2 linked regions of the Coturnix japonica genome follow. Each later gene encodes a partner of the first gene's protein in a complex. Links are inferred from orthologs where the notes say so. Each region holds a gene or a part of one and is shown on either strand. Other genes may lie near its edges.

The links. Proteins that work in one complex are often made in the same cells at the same time.
Region 2: the proteins of DKK1 (region 1) and KREMEN1 are in contact, whole or in part, in a crystal structure (PDB 5FWW), measured with the Homo sapiens proteins. The link is inferred for Coturnix japonica from reciprocal best matches to the Homo sapiens genes DKK1 and KREMEN1. Residues at the interface, in NP_036374.1 of Homo sapiens: Cys189, Leu190, Arg191, Ser192, Ser193, Cys201, Arg203, Trp206, Ser207, Lys208, Lys222, His223, Arg224, Arg225, Lys226, Gly227, His229, Gly230, Leu231, His261; in XP_011528731.1 of Homo sapiens: Pro67, Asn88, Asp90, Asp92, Ser94, Trp96, Gly105, Val106, Tyr107, Trp108, Tyr110, Asp127, His128, Gly129, Pro132, Thr140, Asn142, Glu164, Ser165, Tyr167, Ala168, Phe170, Asn189, Val191, Phe193, His196, Asp203, Gly204.

The regions. Positions count from the first base shown.
Region 1 is NC_029521.1:5,371,726-5,375,938, forward strand, and holds DKK1 (dickkopf-related protein 1), read right to left. Parts: upstream 2,474-4,213; 5' UTR 2,394-2,473; coding exon 2,217-2,393; intron 2,138-2,216; coding exon 1,981-2,137; intron 1,767-1,980; coding exon 1,656-1,766; intron 1,585-1,655; coding exon 1,334-1,584; 3' UTR 880-1,333; downstream 1-879. UniProt on the Homo sapiens protein: Antagonizes canonical Wnt signaling by inhibiting LRP5/6 interaction with Wnt and by forming a ternary complex with the transmembrane protein KREMEN that promotes internalization of LRP5/6.
Region 2 is NC_029530.1:6,891,924-6,897,056, reverse strand, and holds the start of KREMEN1 (kremen protein 1), read left to right. Parts: upstream 1-1,892; 5' UTR 1,893-2,017; coding exon 2,018-2,096; intron 2,097-5,133. UniProt on the Homo sapiens protein: Receptor for Dickkopf proteins. Cooperates with DKK1/2 to inhibit Wnt/beta-catenin signaling by promoting the endocytosis of Wnt receptors LRP5 and LRP6.

The sequences.
Region 1 (4,213 bases):
CAGTAAATTCAAAGCACGGGGACAGCCGCAGCCCGTCCTTTCCAAGTCTGATTAGCGCGTATTCAGCTCCCCATACCCCCCTGCTGGGGGACATGGAGCCTCTGCTCGGCAGCAGAAGGGGCGGCCCGAGGCCGGTGCTCAGGGGGAGGATGAGAAATCTGAATGAGTGGGAAAGTCTTGATACATTGTGATGCTGAACTCAATGATACTGTTTCGTATGTCGTTAGGGACGAAATATGTCACCCCAACACCAGGGCTGAGCGCATCTAAATACCAGCCGTGCCTCCGCACACAGCCAGCTGCTGGCATCACCCCAGTGTGAGCGGCTGGTGTTGGGCACAATTGCAACTGCAGTGTTGTGGAACGGTGCTTTTTATGCTGTAAAACAATAGCTGCTTTTAAAACGTAACTGCCGTGCTCAAGCCTTTGAAGCATGACCTCATTTGCTGGGATGCTCCAAGCAAGTTCAGGCTGCAGCACCGGGAAAATCCATTCCCTGCACCGTGAGCACAGCCAGACCAAACCCACTGCCTTGGGTCAGTGCTGGGCTGGGGCAGCACAGCGCCGACCTCAGCCACTCTCCGACAGCAGCCACCCTCGGTGCACGGGCACACTGCAGGGAGCTCTGTCAGGCTCGGTCCCTGTCTCGGTATGTCAGCTGTCTGGGCAGCCCCGGAGGTCTCTAAGCAGGAGAGTTAATGCCACAGGCATTAGTGCTGGAGGTCAGGTCGCGGTAAAGCACCAAAAGGGAGGTTGTGCCTCAGGAGCATCCCCGCAGACGGCACTGCAAGGGGCCGGGAGGGCTCCCACCCTCCCACCCGCACCTTTCCCTCCCTCCACGCCACCCCAGAGGGAAGAACTCAGCGACGTACTGCCACGTGAAGCGAAAAATAGACTTTATTGTGCCCAGAGCGGCGCCGACCGCACGGCTCAGGGCCGGGGCCGCTGAGGTCCCGCTCTGCGACCCCGCCGCCTCCGCGGGGCATCGCCCCGGAGCGTGGCACCGCGCAGCGTGGGCTGCCCTTCACCTGAAGGGGCGGCCGCGTCCATCGAGCGCAACTGGAAACCCAGCGCGTACCGCGTACCACGTCCCAGTCCCGGCTGGAGGAGCGCCCGGGCGGCTCACTCGGAACGTCTGTACACTAAGTGCCACCTCCATATTCACAACACAGTAACGTACTGCAATCAGTCGCTTAAGTGTAGTTCCCTCGAGAAACAACCTTCCGCTCCGGCTGCGCGCACAGCGGGGAGCTCCCACGAGCGGGGCTAGAGTCCGTCCCCCCGTCCGTCCGTCCGTCCGTCCGTCCATCCTCGGTCCGCCCCCCGGCGTCGCTCAGTTCCGCTGGCAAGTGTGCAGGCGGGAGGCGTCGGGACCGCCGCGGTCGCGCTGCGGGCGGCACGCCATGCCCTCGGCGCAGGGGCAGCGCTGGAAGATCTCGAGGCCGTGGGCTCCTTTCCGGCGGTGCCGGGTACACACCTGCCCCTCGCGCAGGACGGGTTTGCAGATCTTGGACCAGAAGTGGCGGGCGCAGCACAGCCCCGCCGCACAGTCCGACGAGCGCAGGCAGAAGTCGCCCTCCTCACCTGCGGGCGGGAGGTCAGTGCCGAGCTCCGACGGCGCCCGCGGCCGCGCCGCTCCCCGGGGCCGTGCTTACCTTTGGCGTCGGGCGGCCAGGCGGGAGCGGGCGTCCGTCGGGGCAGCGCCTCGGGGCCGGGCTCGTCCAGCTCGGGAGCGCCGGGCGGGGGTTCGGGGGGCGTGCAGAGCCCTGCGGGGCGGGGAGGGGGAGGCGGCGCCGTCAGCCCCCCCGTGTCCACTTCCCACCCCCCATCCCATCCCATCCCATCCCATCCCATCCCATCCCATCCCATCCNCCATCCCATCCCATCCCATCCCATCCCATCCCATCCCATCCCATCCCATCCCATCCCATCCCATCCCCGCCACGCTCGCCCCCCCACCCCGGCCCGGCCGCCCCTCACCGTTGCTGCAGGCCGTGCCCGGGCAGCACATGGCGTCGCGTAGGCAGCGCTTGCGGCGTCTCCGGCACGCGAGGCAGAGCGGGGGGCCACTGCCGCGGGCCGCCCCACCGCAGAATTCGTCGGGGCCGCAGTCCTCGTCCTCTGAGCAAGGGAAAGGCTGCGGGCGGGCAGAGGAGTCAGCGCCGCTTCCCACCGCCCGGTAACCCCCGGCAGACCCCGGGCCGCCCCGCTCCTACCTGCCGGGTGGCGGCCGGCGGCGCCTTGTTGCTGCCGTCGAAGGGCGCGGGGGCGGCGGCGGCGGGGGCGGCGCTGGCGGCCGCCCCCACCTTGATGGCGTTAGAGCTGAGGCCGCCGCCGGCCCCCGCCCGCCCCGCGCAGCTCAGGGCCGCCAGCAGCGCCAGCAGAGCCCGCATCGCCCGTCCGTCCCGACCCGTCCGCCCCGTCCCGTCCGTACTTCAGCGCCGCGCTCCGTGCCCCCGAGCAGCGCTACCTGCCCGCCGCTGCCTCTTTATACCCGGGGGGCTGCCTCCTGCGCCCGCCCTTCGGGGAGGAGGGATGGGATTTCAAAGGGCCCCGGGGGGCTGTGCCGCTGTTCCCCCCCCCCCGAGGGAGGGGATTTCGCAACGGCGGCGGTAGCTCCGCCGCGCTCCCTTCCTGGCGCCAGCGCAGACCCGCAGGAAGGGGCCGCTCCGCACCCCCGGCCCCGCGGAGTTTGGGGGGGCTGGATGAGAGCCCGCCCCGTCGGAGCCCCCCCGTGCACTCGGCTGACCTCGGCCGGGGGGGCTGCGCCGCGGCGGGGGGAGCGGGGCCGGGCCGGGCTGTGCCTTTGATGCGCGGAGATCAAAGGGGGGCGGCTCCCCCCGCCCCTCGCCCTCGGGGCCCCCCGACGGCGCCGTTGCGCCGTTGCGCCCCCTGGCGGCCACGACATGGTACTGCAGCGAGGAGAGCTCCGTTGGCCACACGCGCCCGTAGCGTCGCGCTCCTCACTTCTTTTTATTGTATTTAATTTTTTTAATGGGAGAATGGGCCGCCCCGTTCCGGGAGAATGGGCAGCCCCGGCTCAAATTGACAGTGATGCTTATGGCTTATGGTGGTACCGCCTGAGCAGGTACCGGCGGGGATCAGGCTCATCCCCATCACGTCGCTGCTGAGCTCTGGCATCGTTCCTTCCCACTGGGCCACAAGCTGGTGTCCGGTGCGGCTGCTGACAGCCATTGTGCCCCATTGCCACACTTAAGCCATGTGGCCCCAGTGCATTCTGCCCAGGAGGGACCAGCCCTGTCCCCTGGCAGTGTCAGCTTTTTGCCTTCTCTCCCAGCACTCATCCTCTGTGACAGCAGGGACAGGGACAGCCCCACCTGCGAGCAGCTCTGGGGTAGGTATTGATCACAACTGGCATCAGGTCTCTGTGCCCTACATGCCCTGCACCTGCTCCTAGTAGCAGCGTGGAAAGCACCAGGTGTACCGCTCACCCCTGAAGAGCAAATGTGCTGTAAGGATGCTTACTGCTCTGTGTGGTCACGGAGTAACGTGGGCTGGAGATGCCCATGATGTGTCATGCAGGACCCCCACCCACCCATTGGGATGTTCATGTCCACTGCCTATTGATCACAGCAACCGCATCTCTCTGCAGTGTCACACAACACTGTGCTTGGCTCACTGTCTCCTACTTCAGATCACCACAAAGCAGGGGTAAAATAACCCAGCCGAACAGCAGAACCACCCCCAAGCCGACTCCTGCTGAAGACAGATGTCAACACGCTGCTCAAAAGTAATTATTTTTATTTCAACTCTATAAAGTATACAACAGGCACTCAGCAATTACAGCTGCAGGGAAAATACAGAGCAAAACAAAAGCGGTTAAGTTTATGAAAAAGAAGTTCTTAAATCTACATCAAAAGAGTGCAACTGGTTGACGACCATTGGATGACAGACGTGTTTCTTTTCTGACAAACAAAAAACTCTTGCATGTAGAATCCATTGTAATAAGAAAAAACAGAGAAATATAGAACGTAAAAATAAAGGACCAGTGTCAGAACAGCATGGATCGGACTCAGGATGAGACAAACTCCAAACGACACTTCCCTTTGGCTGCTAACGTCTGGGATCTGCCCTTGTCTCAGCACAGCACCTGCTGGGCTGGTGGGAGAAGTGAGGAGGCTCTGGGCAGCTCCGTGGTGGGCTGCGTCCCCCAGGGGAACATTCGCTTTCATGGGGGCATTTGGTTTCATGA
Region 2 (5,133 bases), on another chromosome or scaffold:
TGAAAGACCCTAGAAAAGTAGAGTCAAAGAGCTGCAAGAGTTAGTAATTCCTCCACTATCAACAGGGGTTTCACGATGCACAACTGGCTTCCCAAACCCTTTGGGATATAGGCTGGACGCACAATAAATTAGCAAAAATGCCCCTTTGAGTATGTATTAGATGACATGGCATATACGAATCCAGTGTGTAAGTATCTTCATTTTTCCCCTGCTTTTTATATACCTCACAACAGCCAAAAGAGATTTCAGCACGTTTTTTACTGTATGGTTATGTACAATGGGAGCTTTCTGTATACAAAGAATTAGGTGTATCATAGTGTGTATTGATGTAACAGAGAAAGCACAGAAACTGTGTTTCGTGGCTGATACATTCAGAGTAGTAAAATGGGTCTCTCCTTTGTAGGTGTTTGAAGGTATCATTACATAGCAGAAGTATGAAGAAGCTGTAAGGGCAAGATGCAATGACAGGGGCTTCAAACTAAAAGAAGGGAGATTGAGGTTGGATGAGAGGAAGCAATTCTTCACTCAGAGGGCAGTGAGACCCTGGCAGTGCTGCCCTGAGCTGTGGGTGCCCCATCCCTGGAGGTGCCTGAGGCCATGGATGGGCCCTGGGCAGCCTGAGCTGGGGGCAGCCAGCACATGGCAGGGGTGGGGCTGGGGGGGTCTCTGTGATCCCCTCCAACCTCGGCCATTCTGTCATTCTCTGATTTGTGTTAGACAAAACAAGTCTAACTTTTCCCTCATCGCTTTCTGTTTGTTTGCTTGGTTCTTTTTTTGCTGTTGGTGTTTGCTTTCTGTTATTTACTTTATAGCTAAGAAATGCTGGCTCTGCTAAAATGCCTCACGACTCAGCGAAGAAACCTTTGCAGAAGTCTAGACTATGGCCTCATTATGTATACCCTTAAGAAATAGCTTTCCTGCCCACATGGAGGTAGAAAAGGAAGAAAAGGAAAGCCACCTGCACTTGTATTCACCATTTTTCAAATAGAGACAGTGAACTCATCCCCTCAGTTCTGTGCTCTGTCAGTAGCTGTGTATTTGCCTCTGTGTATGCTACGTTAACATAGACTCACTGAATGGCTGGAGTTGGAAGGGACCCCTGCAGGCCGTCTGGTCCCACTGTCTGCAGTTCCATCAGTGCTCACAGCTCCGTCTCTTGACCTATCTCCCCCGTTCTATTTAGAGACCATTTCCCCTTGTCCTATCACACAGAACCTGCTGAAGGCTCTGTCCCTTCATTCTTACAGCCCCTTAGACACTGACTCTCTCAGCCTCTCCTCGGAGGGGAGGTGTTCCATCCCTTGCTTCAGTTTTGTGGCCCTCCTCTGCATGTGTCTATGCACTGGAGAAGTCCGTGTGCTCGTCTCTGTGTCTACGTCCGTACTTATGTGTTTGAAGCTGAGTACTTGTGTATGCCTCCGGCTGAGTCCCTGCATCTCCCCGCACACCCTCCGGCCCGCGAAGGGCTGTATAGAGCCATAGCGCAAAGATTACAGCGGTCTTCTCCCCGCCCTCCCCTAAGGGAAGAAAAGATGCTCCGCATCTGCGCGCTCCGTTCTGCTGGCAGGCAGCCCCCGGGACCGCCAGGCTGGCACGGCCTCGGGGCTGCGGGGCTCCGCGGGGAAGGCAGAGGGACACGGGGGGGATGCCGAGAGCTCGGCGCTGCCTGCGGGGCTCTTTGGTTCCGTGACTGATCCGTGCGGGGTTCGCCCCGAGGAGCGCTCCGCGGAGCCCCGTCTGCGGGCGGCACGACCCGAACCCGTCGGTGTCAAACGTAAAAGCGGTTCCTCTCCGCGGTTCGGCGCCGCAGCGGGGAGCAGCAGGTTGGGATGTTGGTTTCTATCCTTTCCTGTCACATGGCTGGTAATAGGATCCCTCATCTGCCACTCGGCACCTCGCTGGGGCGCACTTACAGGACACATGCTGTAGGGCCTCCGCTTTCCGCACATCGCGCTGCTCCCGGCCGCCCGCGACCACCTCCGCTCCGGAACGCGGTGCGGCCCGGCGGCCCCGGCCCATGGAGCCGCCCCCTCTCGCCGCCGTCGTGGCCATATCGGGACTGGCGCTGAGCTGCTGCCGAGAGCCCGGTCTGTCCGGTGAGTGAGTGAGTGAGTGACACCCGGCGGGGACGCGGGGGGAGCCGGGCTGAGCGGACGGAGCCGCTCGCGGATCTTCTGGAGGGGATTGAGAGGCGACAGAGCCGCAGTTTGTACCCGAGCTCAGCGGACCCGAGGCTGGCACCGAGCTCTGCCGCCCGGCAGCACCGAGCTCTGCTGCGATCAGCCAGCCCGGGGCAGCGCGCTGGAGCTCGATGATCTTTATGGTCCCCTCCAGCCGAAGTCGTTCTGTGATTCTGTGGTCGGGTTCGCGATAACATCCCTTCCTTATCGCCAGCTCCGTGCGCGGTGCCAGGTCCGGAGCGGCTGATCAGGACGGTCCGAGATACACGGTCCTTCTGGATGTGCTCAATAGCTGAATCTTCCTTATTCTGCTCGATACAGGATTTGCACTGCTTCCTCCAGCTATGAATAGACGCTTATCTTCACATTATGTAGATACACCTAGAATCATAGAATGGTTGGAATTGGAAGGGACCCCCAAAGACCATCTGTTCCCACTGCCTGCAGTGCTCAGGGACACCCACAGCTCCATCAGTGCTCACAGCCCCGTCCCCTGACCGTGACTGTCTGCAGGGATAGGGAACCACCACCTCTCTGGGCACCCTGTGCCTCACTGCCCTCAGTGTGAACAACTTATTTATACCCAACCTAAACTTCCCCTCTTTTAGTTTGAAACCATTTCCCCACATCCTATCAATCCTACCATGTCTGATTATCAGACCCAGTACCATCAGGCTGTGTTTGATGCACTCTTGGTCATCTTTTCTTTATTGAAGAGTGTAATCTTTTTTCCAAACACAACTGTAGACGGAACACGCTGTGTAAGCAGCCAAGTTTCACAGCAGCTGCATGTGAGCATGTGGAGGATATATCCCTATAGGAGTGTTTGGTTCCTAGGCAGTGTAGAGACCTCTGTGCACATCCATGCTCTGACTGCATACACCCACAGCCACAATAACCCAATATTACAGTGAGTAAATATGTAGCAAAGATGATGGATCTAGGAAGCACAGCCACCTACCTTCCAGTCTGTATTAATTCAGTCACTGAGATCTGCAGTACTCAAAGCTCAGTCATACCATATTTCTCAGGAATTGAGGGGGGGAGTGGTGAATAGGTTCCCTATTGAAAGAATACATTGCCTAATTAAAGGGTTTTCTGAATTTGGTGCTTTTTGTGTTACAAAGAAACTGAGAAGTCTCTGAAATGTCACTTTCATTGAAGAAATGTTTTATATACGCAGTGCAATAGGCTGTCTTTTCTAGTTTCTATACTTATAGCCTTTTAATTTCCCACTCAGAAGTGTGTTTGATTTCCCCGCTTCCTTTCTCTGTTATCTTTCTGTTCAGCAGTAGTGGATCTCTATGCCTGTGGTTTCCTTCCTTATCGCTGTTGTTTCACCCATCTCTTTGTGTAAAGCAGCTCTGCTTTGTGTTCCTTCAGCAGCCATCATGCAAATCATCCAGCAAGCAGTTCTAAGCAGGCCGAGATAGTCACCCTAGGCACTTTGGGAGATCGTGCTCATACATGCACAGAGCCTAACTCAAAATCCGGAGTTATGAATGGATTTTGGTAGGGTGGAGCCAACGGAGTGGGAAGGAGGCTGGGATTACACGCTGCCAGCTGCTCATTTTGTCATATCACACCACAGCGGTTGTGCAATTGAGCACTCCCTCCATCTGCACAGTGGCTGAGGCCCACGCTGGTAAAATTTCCGGAGGGATTCGGTCTGCCACACTTGACAGTGGAACAACAGATTTAAAAGTTCACAAAGAAAACAAATGGGTGTATTAAGGAGCAGAAATTCCTCTGGGGCTACATCATGCATTCTTAGTTCCAGTGATAAAGAATCCCAGGACAAGTGTGGTGGTGGAACTGTACCTCTGTCTGCTCCCAGGCTGTGCCAATGGATGCTGAGGATGAGGTTTGACTCAGTGTCATTGGGGCCGCTCTATGTTCCGGACCAACATGAAATGTGACTGTTCTGGAGCAGCTGAGGACCTGTAAAGATGATGTGTGTGTGCCTGTGTGGGATGAGGGATTTTTAAGCTACATACAGAATGTGTCTATACTGCATAGGGGAAACCTTCTGCTCCAGTGCCCTCATGGCATCACAGCAGCCTTTCACTGGCCTTATCCTCCCCAAAATCATTTATTTTCCATCATAACATATTACGGAATAAGGTTTTTTTCCTGACCAATCCTATGAAAATACGCAAATGAACATTTGGTTCAATCAATAAAACTGCATCTTCAAAGAAAACCATTGCGCTACTAAAAATATTTTTAATAATGACCACAGAAGCCATATTTGTCTCTTTGATCTCCTGGAGCTTCTTCTGGTTTTAATCAGCATTCCCACATGCAGAATTGTGGCAGCCTATGATAATAGAATCTCTATTCGCTTATCCATAGGGAAACAAAAACGCTCTCATCTGAGGAAGGTAATTGGGTGCTGTGCCCCTTCCATCCGTGGGCCTCCGTCGCTGCTGGGGTGTCTTGGCATCAGTTAAGTGGTTTCTGTCCTTTCCTCTGTGCCTTACTCTCTCATTGAAGTGTTTCTGCTGTCTAATTATACCCTTTCAATCAAATTAGAGACTGCAGCATCTGGTTAGTGCCTGTAACTGTTGCCATCTGCACCTAGATACAGGGCTTGCGTTTAAGGAGGAGTGCTGCGATTACAGGCTGCAGCAAAGGCAAGGAGAGTAGTTTTGGTAGAATGGAAATCACCTGAAGCTCTTCTTAAAGCACTATTAAAATGTGTGCACCAAGCAGCTGAGACACAGTCCTTATTGGACTCAGCCCACGCTCTTATCCACACACATTTTGGGAGCCTTTCCTTATTGCTTCAGCCTTACAGAACATTTAAAGTTCTGGCTGTTGTGCTCCTGCCGCCAAACATCATATTTCAATGTCAGCCGTTTTCATTTAGCTTTGTTGATTCTTTTATCTGTATATCCTTAAAAGAAAATGCTGCTTCTTGTGGGGATGTTGCTGGTCAGATCTCTCCTGT